Linked DNA regions of Canis lupus familiaris. The protein of the gene in region 4 purifies or fractionates together with the protein of the main gene of each other region. This does not show direct contact. Links are inferred from orthologs where the notes say so. Each region holds a gene or a part of one and is shown on either strand. Other genes may lie near its edges. The genes, in order: TACC1, LSG1, ARHGEF12, VAPB, OSBPL10, AKAP11 and ACBD5.

Evidence for each region.
Region 1: the proteins of VAPB (region 4) and TACC1 purify together in Homo sapiens (affinity purification with mass spectrometry; 3 studies listed by BioGRID and IntAct, counting the BioPlex papers as one, with this or other methods). This does not show direct contact. The link is inferred for Canis lupus familiaris from reciprocal best matches to the Homo sapiens genes VAPB and TACC1.
Region 2: the proteins of VAPB (region 4) and LSG1 purify together in Homo sapiens (affinity purification with mass spectrometry; 3 studies listed by BioGRID and IntAct, counting the BioPlex papers as one, with this or other methods). This does not show direct contact. The link is inferred for Canis lupus familiaris from reciprocal best matches to the Homo sapiens genes VAPB and LSG1.
Region 3: the proteins of VAPB (region 4) and ARHGEF12 purify together in Homo sapiens (affinity purification with mass spectrometry; 3 studies listed by BioGRID and IntAct, counting the BioPlex papers as one, with this or other methods). This does not show direct contact. The link is inferred for Canis lupus familiaris from reciprocal best matches to the Homo sapiens genes VAPB and ARHGEF12.
Region 5: the proteins of VAPB (region 4) and OSBPL10 purify together in Homo sapiens (affinity purification with mass spectrometry; 4 studies listed by BioGRID and IntAct, counting the BioPlex papers as one, with this or other methods). This does not show direct contact. The link is inferred for Canis lupus familiaris from reciprocal best matches to the Homo sapiens genes VAPB and OSBPL10.
Region 6: the proteins of VAPB (region 4) and AKAP11 purify together in Homo sapiens (affinity purification with mass spectrometry; 3 studies listed by BioGRID and IntAct, counting the BioPlex papers as one, with this or other methods). This does not show direct contact. The link is inferred for Canis lupus familiaris from reciprocal best matches to the Homo sapiens genes VAPB and AKAP11.
Region 7: the proteins of VAPB (region 4) and ACBD5 purify together in Homo sapiens (affinity purification with mass spectrometry; 4 studies listed by BioGRID and IntAct, counting the BioPlex papers as one, with this or other methods). This does not show direct contact. The link is inferred for Canis lupus familiaris from reciprocal best matches to the Homo sapiens genes VAPB and ACBD5.

What each region holds. Positions count from the first base shown.
Region 1 is NC_049237.1:27,450,074-27,453,573, forward strand, and holds part of TACC1 (transforming acidic coiled-coil-containing protein 1), read right to left. Parts: intron 630-3,500; coding exon 1-629. UniProt on the Homo sapiens protein: Involved in transcription regulation induced by nuclear receptors, including in T3 thyroid hormone and all-trans retinoic acid pathways. Might promote the nuclear localization of the receptors.
Region 2 is NC_049254.1:31,813,509-31,817,008, reverse strand, and holds part of LSG1 (large subunit GTPase 1 homolog), read right to left. Parts: coding exon 3,368-3,500; intron 1-3,367. UniProt on the Homo sapiens protein: Functions as a GTPase. May act by mediating the release of NMD3 from the 60S ribosomal subunit after export into the cytoplasm during the 60S ribosomal subunit maturation.
Region 3 is NC_049226.1:13,568,684-13,572,183, forward strand, and holds part of ARHGEF12 (rho guanine nucleotide exchange factor 12), read right to left. Parts: coding exon 3,370-3,500; intron 2,363-3,369; coding exon 2,327-2,362; intron 1,978-2,326; coding exon 1,823-1,977; intron 435-1,822; coding exon 288-434; intron 1-287. UniProt on the Homo sapiens protein: May play a role in the regulation of RhoA GTPase by guanine nucleotide-binding alpha-12 (GNA12) and alpha-13 (GNA13). Acts as guanine nucleotide exchange factor (GEF) for RhoA GTPase and may act as GTPase-activating protein (GAP) for GNA12 and GNA13.
Region 4 is NC_049245.1:43,969,102-43,972,601, reverse strand, and holds part of VAPB (vesicle-associated membrane protein-associated protein B/C), read right to left. Parts: intron 1,975-3,500; coding exon 1,871-1,974; intron 1-1,870. UniProt on the Homo sapiens protein: Endoplasmic reticulum (ER)-anchored protein that mediates the formation of contact sites between the ER and endosomes via interaction with FFAT motif-containing proteins such as STARD3 or WDR44.
Region 5 is NC_049244.1:13,246,347-13,249,846, forward strand, and holds part of OSBPL10 (oxysterol-binding protein-related protein 10), read left to right. Parts: intron 1-3,105; coding exon 3,106-3,500. UniProt on the Homo sapiens protein: Probable lipid transporter involved in lipid countertransport between the endoplasmic reticulum and the plasma membrane.
Region 6 is NC_049243.1:8,448,249-8,451,748, forward strand, and holds part of AKAP11 (A-kinase anchor protein 11), read right to left. Parts: intron 2,526-3,500; coding exon 2,442-2,525; intron 1,658-2,441; coding exon 1,611-1,657; intron 1-1,610. UniProt on the Homo sapiens protein: Binds to type II regulatory subunits of protein kinase A and anchors/targets them.
Region 7 is NC_049223.1:4,726,527-4,730,026, reverse strand, and holds part of ACBD5 (acyl-CoA-binding domain-containing protein 5), read left to right. Parts: intron 1-1,758; coding exon 1,759-1,879; intron 1,880-3,500. UniProt on the Homo sapiens protein: Acyl-CoA binding protein which acts as the peroxisome receptor for pexophagy but is dispensable for aggrephagy and nonselective autophagy. Binds medium- and long-chain acyl-CoA esters.

The DNA.
Region 1 (3,500 bases), on a different chromosome or scaffold from region 4:
ATCGTTGGTGTCACTGCTGGGAGTGCTTGATGTTTCCTTAGTATCAGGGGGAGATTTCTGGATCCTGGCACCTTCTAGCAAAGAACTTGTGTTCCCATCCATCTCATCAGGACAGAATTGATAGGATGCCTGGGGGAGAGGCGTGCCCTCTAGGGCAATATCAGTTTCTAAGAATTCGCCGATTGTCTTCTTCCTCAGAGGGACAGGTTTGGGTTTTCTTAGCTTGCTTCTGCTGGGAACAGGCTCTGGAGAGGAACTGCCAGCCTTTAGATCAGATTCTGTGGAAGTTTCCAGTGTAACTCCCATGGTGCCTTCTGTCATTGCCTTGTCCAGGATGGCTTCTGGTATGCTGGAGGGCGAAGCCTCCCCCGAGACCACAGTTACACAGCCATAAGCTGCCCTTGTGCCTAGAGCTGCTGGGATATTCGTGGAATTCTTGGCTTCTATTGAAAATGGCCTCACTACTGAAATTCTGCTACTATCATGTTCAGGTTCTTCTTTGAAATCCTTGACCAAGTAAGAATCAACAGCCTGCTGTGCTACCTCATTTTCTGAGGTTCTAGAACAAGTTTCAGATGAACATTTTTCAACCACTTCTGCTACCAGCTGTTCATCAACTTCTTGTGATTCTAAAACAAAACACAAAGGCCATCTATTAAAGACTTATCTTTTTGGCATGTGTAAATATTCTCTACTAGCTGAATTCACATAGACCAGCAGCAAGTTCCTCCCTCTTTGCTTTTATTAAGGTTCAGCAAGGTCAGCAGAGCAGTCTAAAAGGAAACAGCTAGTACTACACTCTAAATAAATTTTCCTATCCCAAATTGTATACGTGTTTCATCTCAGTTATACAAACAATAATTATACAAAATAGAGCTATTGAAGAAAGAGCTAAATAGATCGAGAGACTATTGCAAAGCATATTAATGTGATTATTAAAATTCCTTAGGTTAAAATAACTGGTTTGGAAAAAACGTGAGATGCTGCCAGTGTAGGCAGAGGGGTCAGAACTGGCACCACAGTTTCCAGGCACTTCTTGACAGCTTCAGGGTCTGAATGTTATGCAGTAAACAGATTTTTTTTTTTTTTTTTTTTTTTTAGTAAACAGATTTTCATCTTTGGATGTCAAAAACTAGTATTCCCTCTTCCCTAGAATAATGTTTAAATTATTGAACCAAAATTAAATGAAAAACCCACCATGGCCTACCCGCCATGGCCTGCTCAGAGGAACTTCTCTGTAGACTTAAAAAAACCTGAAAGAACCAAATAAAAAAACTAATTTGAAAAATCAAATACAGAAATAGCTTAAAAAACAAATAGTCCTGAGGTACCTCGCTGGCTCAGTTGGTAGAACATACAACTCAGGGTCAAGCTGGGCATAGAGCTTACTCAAAAAAGAAAAATCAACTGGATTTAATAAGACTTAAAAAAAAATGAGGCTATTTAAAAACAACACATACAACAACAACAAACAAATAATCCTTATTTTACTAAGATAGGAATCATACAATAATAAAGCTATTTCTTCTTTAGCTCTGTCACTGAGCTGGGCCAGGTATTCAAAGCACTTGTGAAAAACGAAGATCCTCTTTAACTTGGGTTTTATTAGAAGAAATGCTGGAATTAGGAAGGTGTACATGAGGGTATTTCTTTAAAGCACAAACTAAGATAGTGTTTTCCTGAGTTATATACCTGAACTATAGAAGAACAGCAGCAAAAACCAAATAAATTGGTATGATCATGGTATCTTGGGATTTTAAAGGGAACTCCGTGATGCCCCTCTAACCCTAATCCTCATCCAGGATCAAAAAACTGAGCACAAGAAAAGTTTTTTAGAGCACTTGGATATATTTTCACATGACCCCTTTATGACTAGAATTAAGGCAGTGCCTTATAAACTGTTCTGCACAGATGCTTCAGACACTCTACCAATGTCCAATGTCCGTTCTGTTTCTGTTTTCAAATGTACATTTAACTGTTATTAATACTGTAGTTTTTTAAAAAAGATTTTATTTATTTATTCATGAGAGACACAGAGAGAGAGAGAAAGACAGAGACCCAGGCAGAGGGAGAAGCAGGCTCCATGCAGGGAGCCCAATGTGGGACTCGATCCCAGGACTCCAGGATCATGCCCTGGGCCGAAGGCAGGTGCTAAACCACTGAGCCACCCAAGGATCCCCAAATACGGTACTCTTTAAAAAGCTCTCAACACATGATATCTTGGATTTGCTTTAACATATTTCAAAAGAATGTCTTCTTAAAAATAGAAAGGGGTGCCTGTATGGCTTAGCGGGGTACGCATTGGACTCCTGACTTTGGCTCAGGTCATGATCTCAGGGTCATGAGATGGTGCCTCTCATCACATCGGGCTCTGTGGTGGGCATGGAGCCTGCTTCGGATTCTCTCTTCCCCTAGGTAGCTTCAGGATGAGAGCTGGTCACTGGAAAGGCCAAGCCAGGATGATGGGATTGGAACTTTCAGCCCCACCTTACCCTCACCTCAGGGGAGGAAAGAAACAGGAAGTGAAGTCTAATCACCAATAGCCAATGATTTATCAACCATGCCCATGTAATAAAACCTACATAAAAACCCCTAAACAACAGGGCCTGGGAAGCTTACAGGTTGCTGACCTCCTCAAAGTGCTGGAGAGGTGGTATACCCAGAGAGGAGAGGGCAGAGATGCTCTGCACCTTCACCCCACTTTGTCCTTTGTGCCCTGAGTTCTGAGAATCATCTAAACAAATTACCAAATCTGAAGAGGAGGGCTGTAGCAACCTGCACATTTACAGCCAGTTGGTCGGAAGTACTGAAATTGTACTGTTGCATTGCATATGCAACTGGCATTTGAATGAAGTTGGTGGGAAGGGAGGCTCAGAGTCTTGTGGGAATAAGCACTTAATTTGTGGGGCCCATGGAAACTGTGGATAGTCAGAACTAACTGAACTATTGATGCCAAGTTGGTGTTGGAGAATCTGAGAACATATAAAACAAGAAATTTGCCTTGAAACAGTGAATAATCAACAGAGATAGCCACAAAGGCACCTGAGAGTTTTTAAAATGATGCTGTTAAATACTGCAATATTATATTTTCCGTGCAAAGTTTCAAACTCATGAAGAACCACTTTACATACTTTCTATAAATTTTAAATCTGCAAAATTAAGAAATTAGACAAATTGTTAGATACTGTTAGTAACTCAACTCTGAAACACAAATTTCCTTCTGCTTCTCTTCCAGGCTTCCAGGACAGTTTAACTCAACTAAGTGTTTCAAATTCTCATTCATCACTACTGACTTGTTTAAGTCAAGGTTTTCTTCTCAATAACCTATAATCCAAACACAAGTGAAATACACTGATTTAGACTCCAACTGAGTTATTTTGTATTTTTCAATTTCATAAATCCCATTGTTTTAAAAATATCTTGGGGATCCCTGGGTGGCACAGCGGTTTGGCGCCTGCCTTTGGCCTAGGGTGAGATCTGGAGACCCGGGATCGAATCCC
Region 2 (3,500 bases), on a different chromosome or scaffold from region 4:
ATACACGGGAGCAGGTCTACAAGGTAGCTGGTGAACCCTAGAAGACAACTGAAGGTAGTAGCAAGGGTTCCCTGAGAACAGATTATGCAAAAATGGAATGTTCTACTTGGTTAACAGTTCAGGGAATATCACATTAGTAGTTGCAGAAAGTAATCTTTTTTTCCTTTCTTTCTTTTCTTTTTGTTTTTAAAGACTACCTATTTATTCATGAGATAGACAGAGGGAGAAGCAGCCTCCCCGTGGGAAGCCCGATGTGGGACTTGATCCCACGGCCCCGGGATCACGCCTTGAGCTGAAGGGAGATGCTCAACTACAGAGCCACCCACCCAGGTGCTCCTCTTTACCATTTTTTTTTTAAGATTTTAATTTATTCATGAGAGACACAGAAAGTTAGAGAGGGGCAGAGACACAGGCAGAGGGAGAAGCAGGCTCCTCACAGGGAGTCTGATGCAGGACTCGATCCTGGGACTCCAGGATCACGCCCTGGGTCAAAGGCAGGCGCTAAACGGCTGGGCCACTCAGGGATCCCCTCTTTTTCCATTTCTTTTTTTTTTTTTTTTTTTTAATTTTTATTTATTTATGATAGTCACAGAGAGAGAAAGAGAGGCAGAGACACAGGCAGAGAGAAGCAGGCTCCATGTACCGGGAGGCCGATGTGGGAATCGATCCTGGGTCTCCAGGATCGTGCCCTAGGCCAAAGGCAGGCGCCAAACCGCTGCGCCACCCAGGGATCCCTCTTTTTCCATTTCTGACAGTTATTGGGTTGGTACATCAGGGCTAAGCCATACAGTGATAAATATTTAAAAACTTCAGTAAAACATCAGCTTCCAGTAAAGACTTGAAACAATAGAGATAATGGCTAAGAAGACAAACTGAAGCCAATAATGTTTAAGAGGACAAACTATGGGGATCCCTGGGTGGCGCTGCGGTTTAGCGCCTGCCTTTGGCCCAGGGCGCGATCCTGGAGACCCTGGATCGAATCCCACATCGGGCTCTCGGTGCATGGAGCCTGCTTCTCCCTCTGCCTGTGTCTCTGCCTCTCTCTCTCTCTCTCTCTGTGACTATCATAAATAAATAAAAATTAAAAAAAAAAAAAAGGACAAACTATGAAGCCAGACTACCTGAAGATAATAAGCATTTATGTTTCTTATTGGGATGATTAAATGAAGACAATGTATAAATTGCTTAGGACAGTGGTGCCTGGCACAGGATAAGCTTTCTATGGATTTTTATTAACAGGAGTAACAACTGAATAATTACTATTGTTATATCCTTGTGAACACATCTGTACTCATTACATCAGAACCTTTGGTTCAGAGGGCTCAGTTAAGTTCACAGAAGGTTACGGAGCTCTCTCCTTGGTCCGGTTTTAACAATGTTGCCGATGACTGGAAAGAGTATCAGAAGGACAAACACAAAATTTGCATATTCAAAGCTAGGAGAGAAAAGCAAATTACACAACCAAAATGAATTCTCTACCTTAGCCCCAAATCATGAACAGTATTTCAGAGGAACCGTACTGTCCTAAGTTGAGGTAAAAATAAGATGAAAAACCTTTTCCACATGAGAGACTTAAGTGATGAGACTTAAGTCTTTTTGGTTGTTTACAGATTAAATGAGCTAAGAGTGTAACATAGCTCCTCTGAGATACAGTGAATTAACAAAAACAGAATTACTGGGAGGATCCGGATGACATGGAATAATCAATTGTCCCTCTGAATACCTAACATATGTAATTAGGTGCCACCAATTTTAAGTGTTTTCCTGATTAGGCAGATAGGCATCTGAGATGAAGAGTGCCCCAGATAACGTGTCCAAGATGAATAAGAACCCAGAAAACATACACAGAGAAAACGAAGGGGACAAAGAAAGAGTCCTTATATCAAAGGCTAGGGAGGCTGACTTAGCTTCACTAAACTGAAAAACTTTCTAAATGTAGACAAAGAGGGGGCTAGCTGGTCTCTGTCATTTAATGTAGTTAAAAAAAAAGATTATATGACTTTGCCATGGAGGTGAGGGAAGGAATTCACAGAGCTAATCTGTGAGCTCATCAAGAGGAGGACATTGTATTCACTGACATTCAGCTCAACGTACAAAATAATCTCTAGACGGCTGACAGATATGAGAAAAGGAAAGGAAAAGGCTAGGAAAAAAGATACTTTAAGTCTCTTCTGGCTCTAAGATTTTTTTTTTAAAGATTTTATTTATTTACTCATGAGAGACACAGAGAGAGGCAGAGACACAAGCAGAGGGAGAAGCAGGCTCCCTGTTGGGGGAGCCCGATGTGGGACTCAATCCCAGGACCCCAGGATCATGCCCTGAGCGGAAGGCAGATGCTCAACCACTGAGTCACCCAGGTTTCCCTAGCTCTAAGACTCTACTACTGATTTCATTTGATAGTCATTATTAGCTAATAGTTGTATTTTTTTTTATTAGAAAATAAACCTGAGGGCTGGCTCAGTGGTGGAGCACGTGACTCTTGATCTTGGGGTTGTAAGTTCAAGCCCATACTGGGTGTGGGACTTAAAAAAACAAAATAAAACAACAAAAAGACCAAACCCAAACCATTTCTGTAAAATTTGAGTTAATAGATAACATAGTAGGGCCACCTGGGTGGCTCACTGGCTGAGTGTCTGCCTACGGCCCAGCGTGTGATCCTTGAGTCCCACATCGGGCTCCCCACATGGAGCCTGCTCCTCCCTCTGCCTCTGCCTGTGTCTCTCCTCTGTGTCTCTCATGAATAAATAAACAAAATCTTTAAAAAACAAAAAACAGGGCAGCCTGGATGGCTCAGAGGTTTGATGCCTCCTTCAGCCCAGGGTGTGATCCTGGAGTCCCGGGATCCCACGTCGGGCTCCCTGCATGGAGCCTGCTTCTCCCTCTGCGTCTCTGCCTCTCTCTCTGTCTCTATGAATAAATAAATAAAATCTTAAAAAAAAAAAAAAATAACACAGTATATCTTTAGAATTACTTCAGTTGTTTGTTTTGAAAACAATGTCGAAAGAACTTCTAATCACGTCCTGAGGAGTACAGGTACATACTTTGGTTGTACTTGCCTCCTGCTAAAAACAATTATAAGGTCATTATGAAGCTTCCTATACAATTTCCTTTCAAAAATCTAAAAAAGGAAAAAAGAAAAAAAAAAAAGAAAAAAACCATCAGTCTATAACACAGAGCCCGAGATGTCAGACTATTTGATGGCCAGAAAAAGTAACCCTGTGACTCATTTTTCTATAGGTCATCCTACTATCAGAACATTTAAGGAACAAACAAAAACCCTGGATTCCCATAAACCTTCAGTGAGAAAAACAAAGCTTACTGAAATCCTCCTCCCAGAAACACAATCTGAAAAAGCCCCCCAGGTTACCTCAGAGTCCCCAGTTGGTTGAATAGCTGCAGCCAAAGCCGACCAGAAGATAATCTTCACATCTTCTTTTTCAAAATATGTGGCCCAGGCACTCCGCTGCTCAACAGTCAACAAGTCTGCCTTATTTATCAAA
Region 3 (3,500 bases), on a different chromosome or scaffold from region 4:
TTAAAAACATATACACTACAATTGATAAGAAATTTCCAAGGGTATTTATATTTTTCATCTTTGACATTAACTTTAGATCCTAAGTCCTGTGGTAGCACTTCATATACAAAAGGCTAATGGTGTGGATGAGCGTCTGGGGAGGGGGATGTTCAATGATCTGATCACTTCTTTATGTTATATGCTCACATACAACATGGATGCACTTAGAAAAGTTTACTGTTATGATGCTTTTATATACTCACAATCTTTCATCTATTAAAAATGTTAGGGACAAAGATTTTTCTTACTGTGAAGTTGAAGAATATCTTCCAAGTTTGAAAAAATCTTCCGTAGTTCTGAAGGGGACAGAATTCCTTCCCTGGACACTCGCTGATAGAATACTTGATCAAGAACCTTTAGTGTTCGGACATGAGCTCTTTCAGTGTAGAACAATTCTAAGCAGAGAAAAAAGGAAACATGAAATGTTACCTCGTTCTGAATAATTCCGTGAGACCAAACACAGGCTCTAGCTGGAATTAAGCAGCAAATGAGCTCTATAATAATTATTTATAGTTTTAAAAGGATGTAGTATCTCTCATGTCACTTTCTAGATTGCATGAGACCCTCCTACATACCGGCTCTAAGAGCTGAGTGCTGGCAAATGAAAAATATCATTCAAAACTATTCTGGGGGCCCTGGGGTGGCTCAGTGGGTTAAGCGTCTGCCTTTAGCTCAGGTCACGATCCCGGGGTTCTGGGATGGAGAACCGCATTGGGCTTCCTGCTCAGTGGGGAATCTGCTTCTCCCTCTATCCATGCCCTCTGTTTGTGCTCTCTCTCTCAAATACAATCTTTTAAACAAACAAACAAAAAAACCCCAAAACTATTCTGTATATTAAAGTTAACAATGGGGCTCCTGGAGAGCTCAGTTGGTTAAGTGTCTGCCTTTGACAGGTCATGATCTTGGGGTCCTGGGATCAAGCCCCACATTGGGCTCCCTGCTTGGGAGGGAGTCTGCTTGTCCCCTTCCTTCTGCCCCTTCTCCTGTTTGTGCTGTCTGTCTCTCTCTCTCTCTCTTGCTCTCTCACAAATAAATAAAATCTTTAAAGTTAACAATGTACTCCAAAATCCTTTTGTCTTTTCACAACACTATTCACCAATCATAGCTAATAACATCAGAAAGCAGTAAGCCCAAACACCATTTAGCCTATTATTTCTTCAAAATAATAGTACTTTTGGTTATCTGATTTGCCTATAAACCCTCATTTCTGAGGCTAGACTTGTTATTTCACTATGTCTCAAAGTTATCAGACACAGGAAAGGTATTTATTGAAATCGCATCCTAAGGATAGTGGAGGGCACAGCATCCATGTCACCCACATCTTTGTCACATATATATATTAGGGCAAAATAAAGAACACTGCACTAGGGTAAAGGGACACCTGACTCCCAGTTTTGTCCCTATCATTTATCAGCTAGCTATATGATCTTGATTCATTCAACCACCCTGGGCCTGAGCTTCCCCATTTATACTATGCATAAAAATAACTTAACGATGAGACCAGGCTGCCTTAATGACTGTTCAACTTCAAGATCTATAATCCTATGAATCTTAAACATCTTGAAAGCTAAACACCTTTTCCTTTTAAATTACCATTAAGAACACAGAATCATTTGCATGTTTTGAGTTGGAAAGCTCAAGGATCATCTATCTAGTTTAACTCCCCTCTGTATAGAACAAAAGGCTAGCAGAAATTTTGAAGCCAACTCCAAAGCTTGGGGGCTTGTTTTAGTCTAATAAAACTCACTGTATGTGAACAACAACAAAGTCTAATTAAACTCACCATTAATTACTTCCTGTCTCTTGATCTCAGAAGGCTTTAGGCCCAGTAACACTTCTCGACTAACGAGCTGTTGCCAGTTGGGTGGATCTGTCTCTAAGTCATTTTCAAACTGTTCATCCTCACTTTGACTTTCTCCAAAAGCTATGCTGTCAAACCTGAATGAAAAAAACCAAAAACCAAAAAACAACAATGAATTCTATTTGGGGACATCAGATGGACAATGGGAAATGGAACAAGTTTTTCTATTACAGTAAATAAGTCATATTTCTGAAGTACTGCTTAGCACAGGGCCTGAAACATCACCCTCTCCTACAAAATGACTTATCTATGTTATATATACCTCTATAAATATCTTTTGAATGATGTGTGTTTATTAAGAATTTTCTTTTATACTAACAGATTTGTATACAGGTTTTCCTTTCCTTTAAAACTACGATGTCAGAGAAAAAAAGATATTATTTCTTAAAATATGCCTCTATTGAAAGCTACTTTAGGATTACTTACTTTCGAAAGGGTTTTGGTGTCCCATGCTCAGTCACCCTAAAACAATGGGGAACAAAGGGTCAACAAGAAAACAAAACAGTAATCAAGAAATTTATGCCTGAACATTTTCCAAACATACAAATGGCCAACAAGATAAGAAAAGATGTTCAACATCACTCATCATCAGGAAAATGCAAATCAAAACCACAAGGAGATATCATCTTGTCAGAATGGCTAGTATCAAAAAGACAAGAAATAACAAGTGTTGGCGAGGATGTGGAGAAAAAGGAACCCTTGTGCACTGTTGGTGGAAATGTAAAATGGTGCAGCCACTGTGGAAAACAGTAAGGAGGTTCCCCAAAAAATTAAAAATAGAAATACCGTACAGTCTACTAAGTTCATTACTGGGTATTTACCCAGAGAAAACAAAAACACTAATTTCAAAAGGTACAGCATAGCGAATACAGTCAGTGGTGTTCTATGATGACAGGCAGCAGCTACACCTTTGGCTAGCACAACATAAGGTATACATTTGTTATCACTATGTCCTATACCCAAAGTGAAGGCAATGCTGTATGTCAACTACACTTCAATGAAAAGGAGAAAAAAGAAATTTATGCCAGCAATACTAAAAACTGGGTTAAACTACAGTGACGGATAAATAATTCTTCTAGATAGTCAAATGATTTGATACAAAATAAATTTAAAACACTTCAGTAGAGACACCTGAGTGGCACAGTGATTGAGAATCTGCCTTCAGCTCAGGGCCTGATCCCAGGGTCCTGGGATCAAGTCCTGTATTGGGCTCCCTGCAGGAAGCCTGCTTCTCCTTTTGCCTATGTCTCTGCCTCTCTCTGTGTCTCTCTCATGAATAAATACATAATCCTTTAAAAAAATAAAATAAAATAAAACATTTCAGTACCTAATATTTACTACCAATAAGTTCTAGGACTTTCCCAAAAAGCACATGTGGGGGAAATGCTACTAAGTGTAGGAATAATATACAATGAAATAGCTGAGGGTTCTCCTAACATCCCCACCCTCCAAAGATACCACTGAATCACCTTTCCACTTCCCATTCCTCCTCCTGCACTTGGTCTAAGGGAGGAGGTGGGAAATCAAAGATGGTATTGGGAGTCCGAGGGGTATTATCTATGCAGTCTCCAGATGCTGGTGTTTCTCCAACTTGCTTTGA
Region 4 (3,500 bases):
CCTGAAGTCTGTGTCTTAGAGTCAAGTGGTTCGGCAAAAAAAGAAAGTTTATAAGAGAAATAAAGCAAATGTGGCAAAGTATTAAATGGTGAATCTAGATAAACGTTATAGGAGTAGTCACTGTATAATTTTTTCCACTTCTATTCTATAGATCAAAATACAAAAAAAAAAAGTTAAAAATAAAGAAATAGCACAAGGCTCTGAATAACAGTGATTAGGTCTAGTATAAATAAATAAATACAGGTCAGTTTTAGTTTTATTTGTGCTTATTTGTATATTTCCAAATTTTCCTACCATATACATTTCATATAAAAAATTTTAACTGTTATGAAAATTATCATAAAAAGGAGTGAAATTCACCCTCATTGTATATAGAGGGCCTGGCCTATAATAGTGCTCAGATACAACAGCTTTGGAGACTGTGCCAGGTGTCTGACACACACAGCACACGGAATCCCACGACCAGTGTAAACTACGTTTTTATCCCCCTTTTACAGGTAACCCAACCCTATAGAGAGTTAATGAAAACTGCCCAAGGCCACAACATTAGTAAAAGGCAGAGCTCAGCCCCACACCCAAGACACCCAAGCCCATGCTCTTGTCACTAAGCCATGCAGCAAAAGCCAAGCAGAATACATTCTTGGATATTCCAAATTTTGTATTTGCCATACATTTCCTTGCTCACACAAATTAACATGAAGTGACACATCATGTTCTGGGAATAAAAGAGAAAGTAGTAAATGCCTCAATAATCATTCTTATGAAAGGGGAAGGTAGTCTATTATCACTCATCTCTCTCAAATCTCAAGGTATCTGGCTTATCCCTCATCTCCTGCCCCAAACTTAAACATCCACAAAGATGGTCATTTGTGCTTTTCCAAGACTAACAGAAAAGGCTGAATGGGACACTGGGACACAAAGGGAAGTGGTGCATAGAAAGCCCTTTGCATAAAACTTGAAAGAGAAAAACCACGGTGCTCTGTGAGCCACCACTGCCTCCCAACTGCAGGTACTCCTCAGGTGACCAGTCTCCTAGCCTGGGGGTGGTGAGCTGGAAAGTGATGATGCAGATGTTGAGGGAACCTTGCCTTCCTCTTCCCATGTGTGAATGTGAGGACTCTCCAGTCTAGTGGGGGCTGTGTAAGGTAAGGTTTATCTGTACATTGTGATTCCTGCAGACAGCAGAATGTCCGCCGATTTCTTCAAATGTGGAAAAGTTTACTTTAAGAAGAATTTCCATTATAACCTTTTCCCAGGAAAACCAATAATATCACTTATTCATTTTATAAAAACAAAGTCATCTTATTTTTACTGAAATTAGAGAAAGGGTTAAACATGTATTTAAGCAGGAAAAAAAAAAAGAGGGAAATTAGGGAGGGGGAAAAAAATCATGCTTACCAGAACCAAGCAAGGAAAAAACCCTTTGGCACTGGAGGACATTTAAGTATTTCATTGTCTCACATCCCTCTGGGCTCTTGCAGGGTGGGGGTCAGGGTGGTGGACAGGGAGAGGTGGTAAGAGGCATTCCCTATACTAAGAAGTACCCTTTCCTATGGAGGATGTAAAGGGGGTATAAAGGGAAGAAATCCTCAAACCATTTAAAACACAATTCATCAGAACAAGGAAGTGCTGAAGCAAACTGTGATTTTAAAAGAGTCAGAAAAGAATAGTATTCTGGAAAGTTACATAAAATGTTAAAATAAAAATTTGAGGAAAAACCATAAAGGTAGTCAAAGTACAAACCTCCTTGAAAACACCATTCCCCTTTAAAAACAACTTTGACACATTTTGAAATGCATGCACCCAAAATTCTGTACCTCATCATTTTTTTTTTAATTACTAAAAAAAGTAAGAAGCATTCAGTACTTACTACTGCTTCCATATCAGAAGTGTCAGTCGGAGCAAACATAGACTGAACCATAAACTTGTGTTTACTTTTCTCATTGGGGTCATAATCGAAAGGCTGTAACATCACTGAGAAAGAAAATATTTCATTAGGAGGGTCAGAGCTTGGTTACCCGCAGCCATTTGTTATGTTAAAACTTGTACCTTGGTTATAAAGCAGTTTACCAGGATTCTCATCTGAGTCTTATAAACACCCCAGGTGAGGCCAGCAGGGCAACATGCCTAGTGTCTTCTCCACTTTTCACGTCTCAAACCTGAGATCCAGAAGTTGGGGGACTCGCCCAAATCAAAGAGCAAGTAGTGGGAGAGCTCGGACTTGGGCTTAGGATCCAGGTTTTTTGATTCCTAGCCCCTGGATCATTCACAACTGCCCACCTGACACAGAGGTCTGATATAGGCCCTACAGACGAAGTAAACTAGGTACAAATACCATATGCTTTTTTGCTCAAGACAAAACAGCAAAATGATCTTTTCAAAAAGTAAACTAGAAGAATAATCCAAGACATGTAAGTGACAGTCTCATTTTAGCTTTTCTTGGTCCCATTTCCCCTATCAAGGTATTCATGTATTGCTTCAAATACAATTTGGCCAATGCAGAGTCAGGAAATTTTCACAACCAGCACAATCACAGCACGGGAGAACATAACCAGCCTACACCCCAAAAACCTAGAGGAATCTCATATACAGGCTCCCTCCGGCAAGTCACGCCCACTGCACTAAGGAGGTGCCTCCCTGTTCCTACTGGCTTCCTTAGAACTTTCCACCCTTCTGAAATGGTGGCTGCTTTGAAATACATGATCCGCTGATCCGCTGCAAGGCTCTGGCTAAACCACACATCTGGATAAATTCCGACACACACCTTTTCACACGCAGCAAATGCCTCCTGCAGCCCTGACCATGAGAAGCCCTAATACAAACTCAGTGTCTCCCATGTGCCAGAAACCTGGCTCTGTATGTTAGGCTCTGTATGTCATTTAACTTTTAAGAGGTAGGTACTGTTGCAGAGATTATTTTAATGCCTGTTTTCAAGTGAACAAACTGGAGCACAGAAAGGTTAACTAACCTGACTGAGATCACACCATGAAGGAGGGACACTCAATGCAGGTGGCCCACCACAAAGGACTGACTCGTCCTCTACCAGGTCGAGTGCTGTCCTCCACAAGCGCCTTTCCTGCAGGGCACTCATCGGGTTCTGTGGCCTTTGAGCCCCATCTTATGGTTTCCTCTAAAGCTTACTATCCACTACCCTCTGCAGCAGATAAAGGGCACATGTCCTAAACCCTAGTTCACACTGTCATGAAGCAGCAAAACTTCAGAGCCAAGTGCAACCCAGCACCCACTCCTTCTGCCACACCAGTCACTCCAATAGAAGACAGATTCACATTCTGCGAATTCACATTCCCCTATCATATCACATAAAAAAAAGCAAATAGGGAATCAAAATGCAAATATCCCTGACATCCATCTTTGGGACACAGAGTTCCCTCTACCTTCAGGACAGAGAAAGTCTACTGAAATCCAACAACACAACAGATTTCAATGTTTCGGTACACACAGTTGCCCAGACAATTCTGCTGCCCACATCACCCATCTGA
Region 5 (3,500 bases), on a different chromosome or scaffold from region 4:
TCCAGTGAACTCTCACCTGCCTTGTCCACTGAGGGAAAGAAAATGCTCCCGTTAGCCAGAAGCAGGATAATTGTGTTGTGTGGGGGGTAATGGGAAGAATTTGGGGTGGCAGTTGGGAGCCTCAAGTTTCCTGTGTGGTGCCTTCGCTCCCCATCTGCCGTCTCTGTCCCCCGACCTGGAGACCCGGGCGTTGGACTCCATCACCCGGAGGGGCCCTCTCCGTCCTGACAGTCAGTCATTTGGAGTGTCAGTGGCGTTGTGTCCCCTGGTTATCTTGTTTTAACTCTTCAGCTTCGGAGTTCAGAAATGCTAAGTTGGGGGGAACCGCCTTCTGTTCTTGCCCTTTTCAAAAGTATATATGGAGAGGGTGACCCTGGTGGCCGGGTCTTTCCTTGTGATGCCAGGCTCGGGTACACGCTGGAGGATGCCCCTGTCCGGAGCACCGGACTTGCTGCCAGAGAGGCCCCAGCCCCCAGGGGCAGAGGGCGCAGCTGAGGCCGCCTAGCGACCCTCTCGGCAGGGGCGTTTGGGGCTGGCCTCCCGCCCTAATTCCGCCCTTTCCCTCTCGGGTTCTCTCATGATCACCGGGCCCTGCCGGGGGGAGGGAAGGAACAAGAAATGGGGAGGTTTCGGGAAGGCCTGGAGATGCAGACATTTGTGGCTTCTTTTCTCTTTCAGTTGTTTGGCCTCATTGGGGGGTGTCCCACGGCTGATTAAGCCCCTAGTCCCCGCACAGCCTGTCGGGCAGAGCTCCCAGGGTGACCCTGGGCAGCCGGGGGGCAGGAGAGGGAGCCATGGTGAGAGTGTGGGGCTGCGCTTGCCTCCCCTTTACTCTGCCAGTGGCCGCCTGCTGTGGAGGGAGCCCCTGGCCCGAGAGCCCCCTTGGAAAAGCAGACGCCCTACAGCACAGCAATGGCCATTGAATGGTGACCTGTCCCCACAAAAGATGTAGGAAGTAATCACAGTGGCCTCTGAAGGCCATTCTGAGCCAGAATGTCCATTACCTGGCCAGCTCAGAGCCTTGGGGCAGCCAGAGTCTCAGTTTTGTCAAGTTTTGGCTGAAGGAAAATGAAGAAATATCCATTGATTTGCATAGTTGTGTCTTTTCTTCCAGTATATTGTAAAAGCAAAGCAGAAAGAGACTTATAAAAAAATATAAAAATCACTCAATTCTAACACCAAGAAATACATGTTAACATTTGGGGTCTTTTTGTAATACTAGATTTGTGTCACATGTTTGACTTTACATCTGGCTGCTTTTTCTTTCTTTCTTTCTTTCTTTCTTTCTTTCTTTCTTTCTTTCTTTCTTTCTTTCTTTCTTTCTTTCTTTCTTTCTTTTTTAAAGATTTTATTTATTTATTCATGAGAGAGAGAGAGAGAGGGAGGGAGGCAGAGACACAGGCAGAGGGAGAAGCAGGCCCCACGCAGGGAGCCCAATGTGGGACTTGGTCCTGGGTCTCCAGGATCGCACCCTGGGCCGAAGGCGGTGCTAAACCGCTGAGCCACCCAGGGATCCCCTGGCTGCTTTTTTACTTAATGAATGTACGTACTCTTTCCTCTAATGTAGTATTTAATCTCAAGAAAAGCGTTAATAAAGATAGCAGAGTCCCCTCTCCAGGGGGCTGGACTTTTTCCAGCTTCCTCTGAAATCTCTGTGCTTTGCTGATCTCCTGTCTGCCTGTCTGTCTCTTTCTCTCAGGACATCCCTCTGCCATTGTATCTACACCCTTTGCTAGGAGGGGTCTGAGCAAGCTGAGGTGGAGGCAGGGTTGCAGATCTGTAAGCCTTTTGACATTTGCAGTCAGAGAGTATTTTCTCGGGAGTTGGGGACTGTGTGAAGGAAGGAGACTCAGTCTTTAAGGAGGGAGTGTAAGCCAGCTGCATCGCCTTGAACTTGTGTGGCTCTTCTCTCTCTGCCTCCCTCTCTTCTCTTTCTGTCTCTTTCTCCTGGAGGGTGTTAGGGAGGAGCCAGCAGGCCATGGCTAGACTTCCAGCTTCATGATCCTGTGCTGAGATGCTCCAGGTCAAAGTGAGCTGTGCCTTGCAGCCAAGTGATTGGTATTAATACCCAGTAATGAAGTCATTTTAAGATCACTCTAGAACAGTGAGGAACAGGCTCGCTCTCCTCCGCCTATCAGCGATAGTAATAAGGGACCTGCTTTCCAGCCCAATGTCACAATGGCCTTCATTTGCTTTAACTGACTTCCTCATTGGGGTTGTGGGGCACCCGATGACCACATGCATCCTCTCTGGATCAACAAGGAGTCTCGGTCCCGTCCCTGGCAGAAGCATCCAGATTTCTACTCCTCTTTTTGATAGTGATGTCAGTAACAATCCCATGAGAAGCCCCTGTACCAGTCCATTTGCCAGAAGATTCTGTATTAAGTGTCAGCCTGTTTCTTTGTAACTTCTGCTTATTTCTTCTGGCCCAGCCTTGCAGAGCAATCTCCACACATGGGCCTTCCTCTGCATGGCAGCTCTCTGGGCATTTGCTTGCTAGCTGATTGGTCTTGCCTCCCAGAGACCTGGGCCATGGGTCCTTTCCTCACTCCTGCTCTGCCTTGATCGTGTTGGGATTTGGATGCTACTCTTCTAACAGAGATCTCCAAATAAACCCTCTTAGTGGTGGTGTGTGCTGGTCTACCTGGACCCCCTTTGATGCAGCACCAAAAAGCCCCATGTTTGTGGGGACACACCGAGCACTCCCCTGGGTTGTCTGATGTCAGGAAGAAAAGGAAGAAGTCCTTTTGTGCTCTTTTCTTCACATCTCTAAGTAATAAGGAGTTAGTAAAAGAGGGTTTTGTCTGGGGATGGTGACAGCAGTGGAGGGGGAAGTAGAGACCGCTGTTCTAGTCCAGATGAGCAGAGAAGCAAGCCACGCAGAACCATCTAGTCCACGAAAGTGGGGTGGCATCATGCCACCACAGCAGCCACTTCTCCAACCTTGTCTTCTTTGATGTCATTTCCCCTAATCTGTCGCTTGTATATGAATCAAAAGACAGCGTTCTCTGGCTTAAGCCACGATGGATTTGCTTGGTGGTGGTTGCAGCCTTTTCCACGTAATCTCGGGGTCTCCTGTCTGACTTTGTCTCCTTCCGAATGTAGGTGGTGCTTCCCACATTTATCCTGGAGAAGCGATCCTTGCTGGAGATGTACGCGGACTTTATGGCACACCCAGACCTGCTGCTGGCCATTACCGCGGGAGCCACGCCCGAGGAGAGAGTCATTTGCTTTGTGGAGTATTATCTCACAGCCTTCCATGAGGGCCGCAAGGGGGCCCTGGCCAAGAAGCCCTACAACCCCATCATCGGTGAGACGTTTCACTGCTCCTGGGAGGTCCCCAAAGACAGGGTCAAGCCAAAGAGGACTGCTTCCCATTCTCCTGCTGGCCACGAACACTCGGTAGCCGAGGACCCTTCCACAAGCTACAAACTAAGGTTTGTGGCCGAGCAGGTGTCTCATCACCCACCCATCTCCTGCTTCTACTGTGAGTGCAAGGA
Region 6 (3,500 bases), on a different chromosome or scaffold from region 4:
ACAAGTTTCTTTTTATGAAAATTATGTTCTCAACATAAAGAAGGATGAATCGCTGTTGGCTATAAAACTAATGACCTGTAGACCCATATCATCACTCCTGCTTAAAGAGGGCTGAGCTAAAAGCAGAGCTCACACAAGTAAGTGCCCTCCCACACTGAGGTGAACAGTGGGCATGCTGGCAGACGTCACGTCAGTTTGTGCCAGTCGTGGAAATTTGTTGGTGACGGTCCCTGATTCTTTTTTAAAGTTTGCAGGGCATTCTAGACTACTACTAATCATTTCTAGGATTTGTGTTGGTCCCTAATGTTTTCACTTAGACAACAGATCTGTGTCATTCTCTTAAGATAAAAAAAAAAGTACTGCCTTTTCCCTCCTCTCCCCTCAATGACTCTCAATCAAAAAAGGGGTCTGGTACACCATGATATCATGATACCAGACATGACACAACTTTCCTAGACAAAGTTAACATTTTTTTCAGTCAACAAAATAAAGCAAATATTACCTAGCCTATCTGTATCTCTAAAAATATTGACCTATCCCTATGTCATATCCAATGACAAAAACTTACTTCTAGAAGCCCTATATGAAGAATGTCTACTTAAAAACAGAATGTCTAACTTAGCAGAAGCACTGGGACTAAAAAATAATCACCTCAAGTCTGAGGATTTTAGCTCAAAAATGGGTACATGACTTCCCTAAATAAGAAAGGCATAACTGGAGGTAAAACTAACTGGACACTCAGGTGTTAATAAAGTACATTTCAAGAATTCATTTAGGCATTTTTCTCAGTTTGCCCTACTTCTAAGGAAATGATGAAAAAAAGCACTAGCTCAAAAACAAATATCTCAAACACTATAAATATTTTTAGGTGCTGCTCTATAGAAGACATTATTGGTATTTTCATAATTTAAAAAAATAAGCCATCTAAATAAACCAGCTGAATGAAAATTCAGCTTCAATATAGAAAGTTTCTACATTCACTCAGATACTCTAATATTGGAATTAAGGATTACAAATCATGGTCCAGAACTCTGTTACCAATGACTTCTGGTATTTAGATATTTGGCACTGTGTTCATCAAAGGAAGAACTGAATATTTTCTTCAAATATGTCTATTTGTGAATTCAGGAATAGGACTGAGAGAGGGAAGAATGTATCTTAAAATATCTTTTAATTTTTACCTTCTGATTTATGTAAGATCAACATTAAACACTAATTTAAGAAGTTACTAGTTTGGAAGGATAAAACTAGAGCATATGCCATGATTTTAATAAATTATATATTATAATGTAAGGGTTTTATGTTTTAAAAAAGATAATTACACAGAGAGAGATTATCATAAATTTCCCTCTCAAATAACTGAATAACTCTTTTTAAGTAATTCAGTTTTCACACCAATGGGTACACTTCATTAGTTTAGCAATCAAATGGTACAAATGGTTCAATAAAGGACCTGTCACCGGATACATTAGTTCAGGACTGTTGTGATTTGCAAATACCCTAATTTATAATAACCTGGAGGCCCACAGATGAAAACGCACGAAGTGAAGACTCTTCTAGGAAACCTTATACAAAAAAACATGCAAACACTTTGAAAAACAGTCATTTACCTTCTCCATCATCCTCAGGATCTTCATCTTTATCATCTGGCTCATCACTTTTCAAATAAAAGAGCAGAAGCAGTTAAAAAAAAAAAAGCTTTAATTAAAATAATGGTACTAAAACCAATTCTTAAAACATGGAAAAGAATGAATGTTACGATATGATATATGACATTTAAAAAGGTAAGAAATGACAATTTAAAAGGAAGCTTTGCTTCTCACACCATTTCACGTTAAAATCTGAATTGTAAACGATGCCTAAACAGGTAGGTCATCAGTAACCAAGAAGGCCTACCTTACCGTGATACAGAACACCAAGTAATTTCATGATCAAATTTGATTTCAAATAATTTAAAGTTAAAATAGTCTACTAATTTGGTTCTGGATAACACAGCATTTGAATTATCATAGAATGCCATGAATATTCATTAATGCCTCTGCTGATGTCATGTACATATTTTTAACAGAGTAAATTTTTTTCCTATGCTTTCCTTAAATATGAAGTAAAATTACATACAAAAACAAATAAAACAACAACAAAAACCAGAAATCCTGTAGGAAGCAAGCTCTTTTTAATGAAATAGTAATTGGTAGGATGAAAAATAGCAGGCGGAGCACTACATGCATAGATGTAACACATTTTGCAATTAGAGGTCAGTTGTATCTTAGCATAATTGAATTTTGTCATTAGATGTAAATTATCAAGCAGGATCAAGTCCAAACACAGGAGGAAAGCAGGTTGATACATACTGGCACTGTAACCCACGTTCTTTTCAGAGTATGACATCATGCATTAGTGTGAAAGACTCATCAGTTTGTAAGTTTCTGGACCGGACCAACCTGTCTGATGTTGGAAAGGATAAATTGTCCTCATACAAATCTCCTTCTAAACCAAGACTGCTCCAGCTACTGCTGTTACCATTACTGCCAGAAGAAGAAAAGAACAGAGCTGAACCAGAAAATGAATAGTAAAGACGACCTGGGTTTTCCTTGGAACAGCTTCTGTCAGTGGTAAGTGGGAGGTTCGGGTGAGAGCTGCCCCCGGGGAGGGGGGCATCCGTGGAGGCAGAAACCATCACGGCTACCGACGGATTCGGGTGTTTGGGAGTTTTCTTATTTGGCCTCCACACATCAGGAAAAATAGTCTAAATTTCTATTTATTTCACGTATGGACACAACAGAATGACTTTTAGGACAGTAGATGAATGCCTCAAGAAGTTTCATGATTAAATTCATGTTTAGGCAAATCTTGGGCTATAATTTGTAAGAAGCCAAAACTCTTCAGTTTGGGTAAAATTTTAAAAAAATCACAGGTTACCGTTAACATTCTCTCAGCTCTTTAGACAGATGGATTTGGTACTGAAATAACAGGCACCAAACATAATCCCAAATAGACCTTTTCTAACTACTTGGAGAAAAGATGTTTTCTGATTTCTTTTTTTTTTTTTTTCTTGATTTCAAAATACCCTTATTATGTCAATTACCTTCATTTCATACATTATGTATAATTCAGTAGGTGGCAAATAACATCCATTTTCATCAGATTTTTGAGTAATCAAGGCTTAATCGAGCAATACACCTGTCTGGTGGGCCAGTCACTAATGCCACACAGACACCTTAAACTATCTAATCAAAAGAGGAAAGCAAACGATATCCTAACATTGCAGCAAAGCAAAAAGAAACAATAAGCGACTGTGTTCAGAAACAATACTAAATTTAATTTTTCAGATTAAAACCTAAACATGCGATTTAAAATTCTAATCATTAAAATAATTAGTAAGCACATTAGTTCGCAGTGATAAGCAGCTTATGTTTCCCCACATTAGGCTAGGCAATTACAAAAATTAATATGTACACAAAACCAAAATTTTGGTTTTAAAAAGTGAATTAACACAAAAT
Region 7 (3,500 bases), on a different chromosome or scaffold from region 4:
GTAATAATTTTGTATAAAAATAACATACAAACAGAATGTAAAAAATTTTAAAACACAAGCAAACAGGAAAATAAAAATAATCTCTATGCTTAGTATCTCCAGAAATATCTTCTTTAACATTTTGGTGTGTTTCCTTCTATTCTGCTTTTGATGCATATAAATATTTTGCAAAAATGAATTGTATTTGATATGCTATTTTTATTTTATTTTTTAAAAGATTTATTTATTTTGTTAGTTGAGAGAGAAAGCACGAGTTGAGAGGAGAGGCAGAGGGATAGGGAGAAACGGACTCTGCTGAGCAGGAAGCCCGATGTAGGGTTTGATCCCAGGACCTTGGTATCATGACCTGAGCCAAAGGCAGACTCTTAACCAACTGAGCCACCCATGCCCCTGGATATGCTATTTTTGAACTACTGGTTTGTTTGTGTGTTTGTTTTTCTTTTTTCATTTTATAATAGATTGTGAAACTTTTCTCAAGCCATTCTTTGTATTTTCATAATATATAATTTGTAAGGGCTGTAGTTATAAATCATCCAGTTGTATATATGTATATACGTATCATAATTATTTTGGCATTACCTATTATAAAACATTGGCATTCTGATTTTCCTTGTTATGAAATATTGCAACTTATAGTACTAATGCATACAATAAATTTTTAAAAGGTTACCTTTTATAAAAAGGTTATAGGTATGTTAGAGACATGTATGCACACTGATTTTCAAAGAAATTGATGTGTTCAAAATTACAAAGGTAGGAAGTGTGAAATCTCTTTTATCTTGGATTGATTCTTTTTCTATCACAGCACACACTGGTTGACTTTAGTCAAACTTCCTTATCCATTAAGAAATTGAAATTTGGCCAAGAGAGTTGAATTTCTTTTTTTTTTTTTTTTTTGAATTGAATTTCTTAATATTGAAGTTTCATTAAGCAGACTGTACATTTAACTTTTTCACTTATGCTAGGCAGTTTGATTTGTCACTATCCTTGTTTAGAAAATACCTTATTAATAGTTGCATAATGCAGCTATTCTGTATTTTCATATATTGCTTTTTGAAATGATATTTTCCAGTTAGTTACATCTAGAGCATATTTGTTCATTTATCCTTTTATTTATTGAACTATGTTAGGCATTGTTATTAAAGTGTAACAATCTCCAGAGTTTTTTTTTTTTTTTTAAGATTTTATTTATTTATTTATGAGAGACACAGAGAGAGAGGCAGAGACATGGGCAGAGGGAGAAGCAGGCTCCGTGCGGGGAGCCTAATGTGGTACTCCATCCTGGAACCCCGGGATCATGCCCTGAGCCAAAGGCAGACATTCAACTGCTGAGCCACTCAGGTGCCCCAAGAGTTTTATTTTCTTTTATTATTATTTTTTTCTTTTTAAAGATTTATTTATTTATTCATTCAGAGAGAGCGAAGAGAGAGGCAGAGACACAGGTAGAGGGAGAAGCAGGCTCCATGCAGGAAGCCCGATGTGGGACTCGATCCTGGGTCTCCAGGATCACACCCCGGGCTGCAGGCAGCGCTAAACTGCTGCGCCACTGGGGCTGCCTGAGTTTTATTTTTTTTTTTTAATTAGAGGACTAAAGCAACTTACAGAGCCATGACATTTGTTTCTATAAGACAAATAAGTGATTATCTGAACTATTAATGAAATATTTAAAAATCACTATTATTATAACTGAGCTGATTTATAGCTTTAGATTGTCAATTGTATTCTCCAGGTGATCTGTTTTTGATATGTTTCCAATAGGTTCATTTCAGCCAACAAATGAAATGATGCTCAAGTTCTATAGCTTCTATAAGCAGGCAACTGAAGGACCGTGTAAACTTGCAAGGCCTGGATTCTGGGATCCTATTGGAAGATATAAATGGTAATTTCATATAGGGAGCTATGAAAGGAATTTTATTTTAATGACATAATTATCATATGACTTATTTATGTGGTTACATATTATTCTGAGCAGATACTGTTCTAGCGTATTGGATCCGATTTTTATCCTCCGCGTTCTTTTAACACAATTTCATATGAAGAGAAAAGTCTTGGGGAAGAGAGGAAAACAGTAAAACCAAAAAGGACAGGTGTATCAAAGATAAAAAAATCATTTTCAGGTAGTCTTTCCTTTTAGGAGTTTTTTTCATTTTATTGTAAGAAGAGCAACTCCCAAGAGCAGTTAAACTCTCCTGCCTCTTTTACCAAGAAAAATAATGACTTTTACTTGCCAAGTGACACTGTTTACTTTGAGCCTTTAGGTGATAAGTAACTAGGCACATGCTGTGCTAACTTTTGGTCTGGGCTATCACTCTTGTCCCACTGTACTTGAATAGAAATTTGATTTTTAATATACATAAGAAAGTCGTAAAATAGCCAGAGAAACCTCCATAACATGGACTGTACTTTAGGAACAGAGTATGCTAGCTGGTGTAGCAGATCTTAAGAGCCACACATTTTGATGGTTAAATTTATTTACACTGAATTGGAAGTCCTTAAACTCCTTTGAGGATTTCTTAGTACTATATTTTCCTCTAAGTTCTTTGTGAATAGTCATAAATAAAAGGTTAAATGTAATAGCTGTCTGTTAGTTGATCTGTTTTAAGACAAGTGATTTACCTTACGATTTTTCCCTCAGAATTGACCATTGGTGGATTTAAACTGCTTCTGGAAAAAATGTGTAAAAAGAAAGAGTTTCATTATAGGCAAAAATTTCAGAGGACTGTTGTCCTTATCTAGGGGTTTAAAATGTCTTATGCAAAAAAAATAATAAAATAAAATAAAATAAAAAATGTCTTATGCCTCACATTTTTGTTTCTAAGAAGTAGGAAGCCACTTTTATTTTTTGAGTATATGTTAGACTCTTGTTTAAAATTAATGGAAACTTTTAACCAGAATTTCTGTTCATTTAAAACATGGCCATGATAGTTCATTTCATATAGAGTCTTTTAAAATGTTCGTTACTGTCACCATTCTTTATCATACAAAATTTTTGAAGAGTTCTTAGCAAATATTTTTCAACAATATATAGTATCTACTCTATGGTATATATAATAGTCTCTGTAACTTATAGTTTATAATTTACAGATGGGCTACATATTTACTACTTTTAAATAATATTTAATTTGACAGTTTATTTTCTCTGATACTTTTTTTTAAGATGATACTTTTATTTCTTTTTTTAAGATTTTATTTATTTATTCATGAGACACACACACACACACACACACACACACCCCAGAGGCAGAGACACAGGCAGGGGGAGAAGCAGGCCCCATGCAGGGAGCCTGATGTGGGACTTGATCCCGGGACTCCAGGGTCATGCCCTGGGCCTAAGGCAGGCGCTAAACTGCTGAGCCACCCAGGGATCCCCTAAGATGGTACTTTTAAAGAGATCCTTTGGAAGCATAATATTTTTGTATAGGCTTTAAGAAGAAAGCCTGTTTTAAATTAATGACCCTATAGCATTGACTACAAATTGTATTCTGAGCAATTGGAAATTG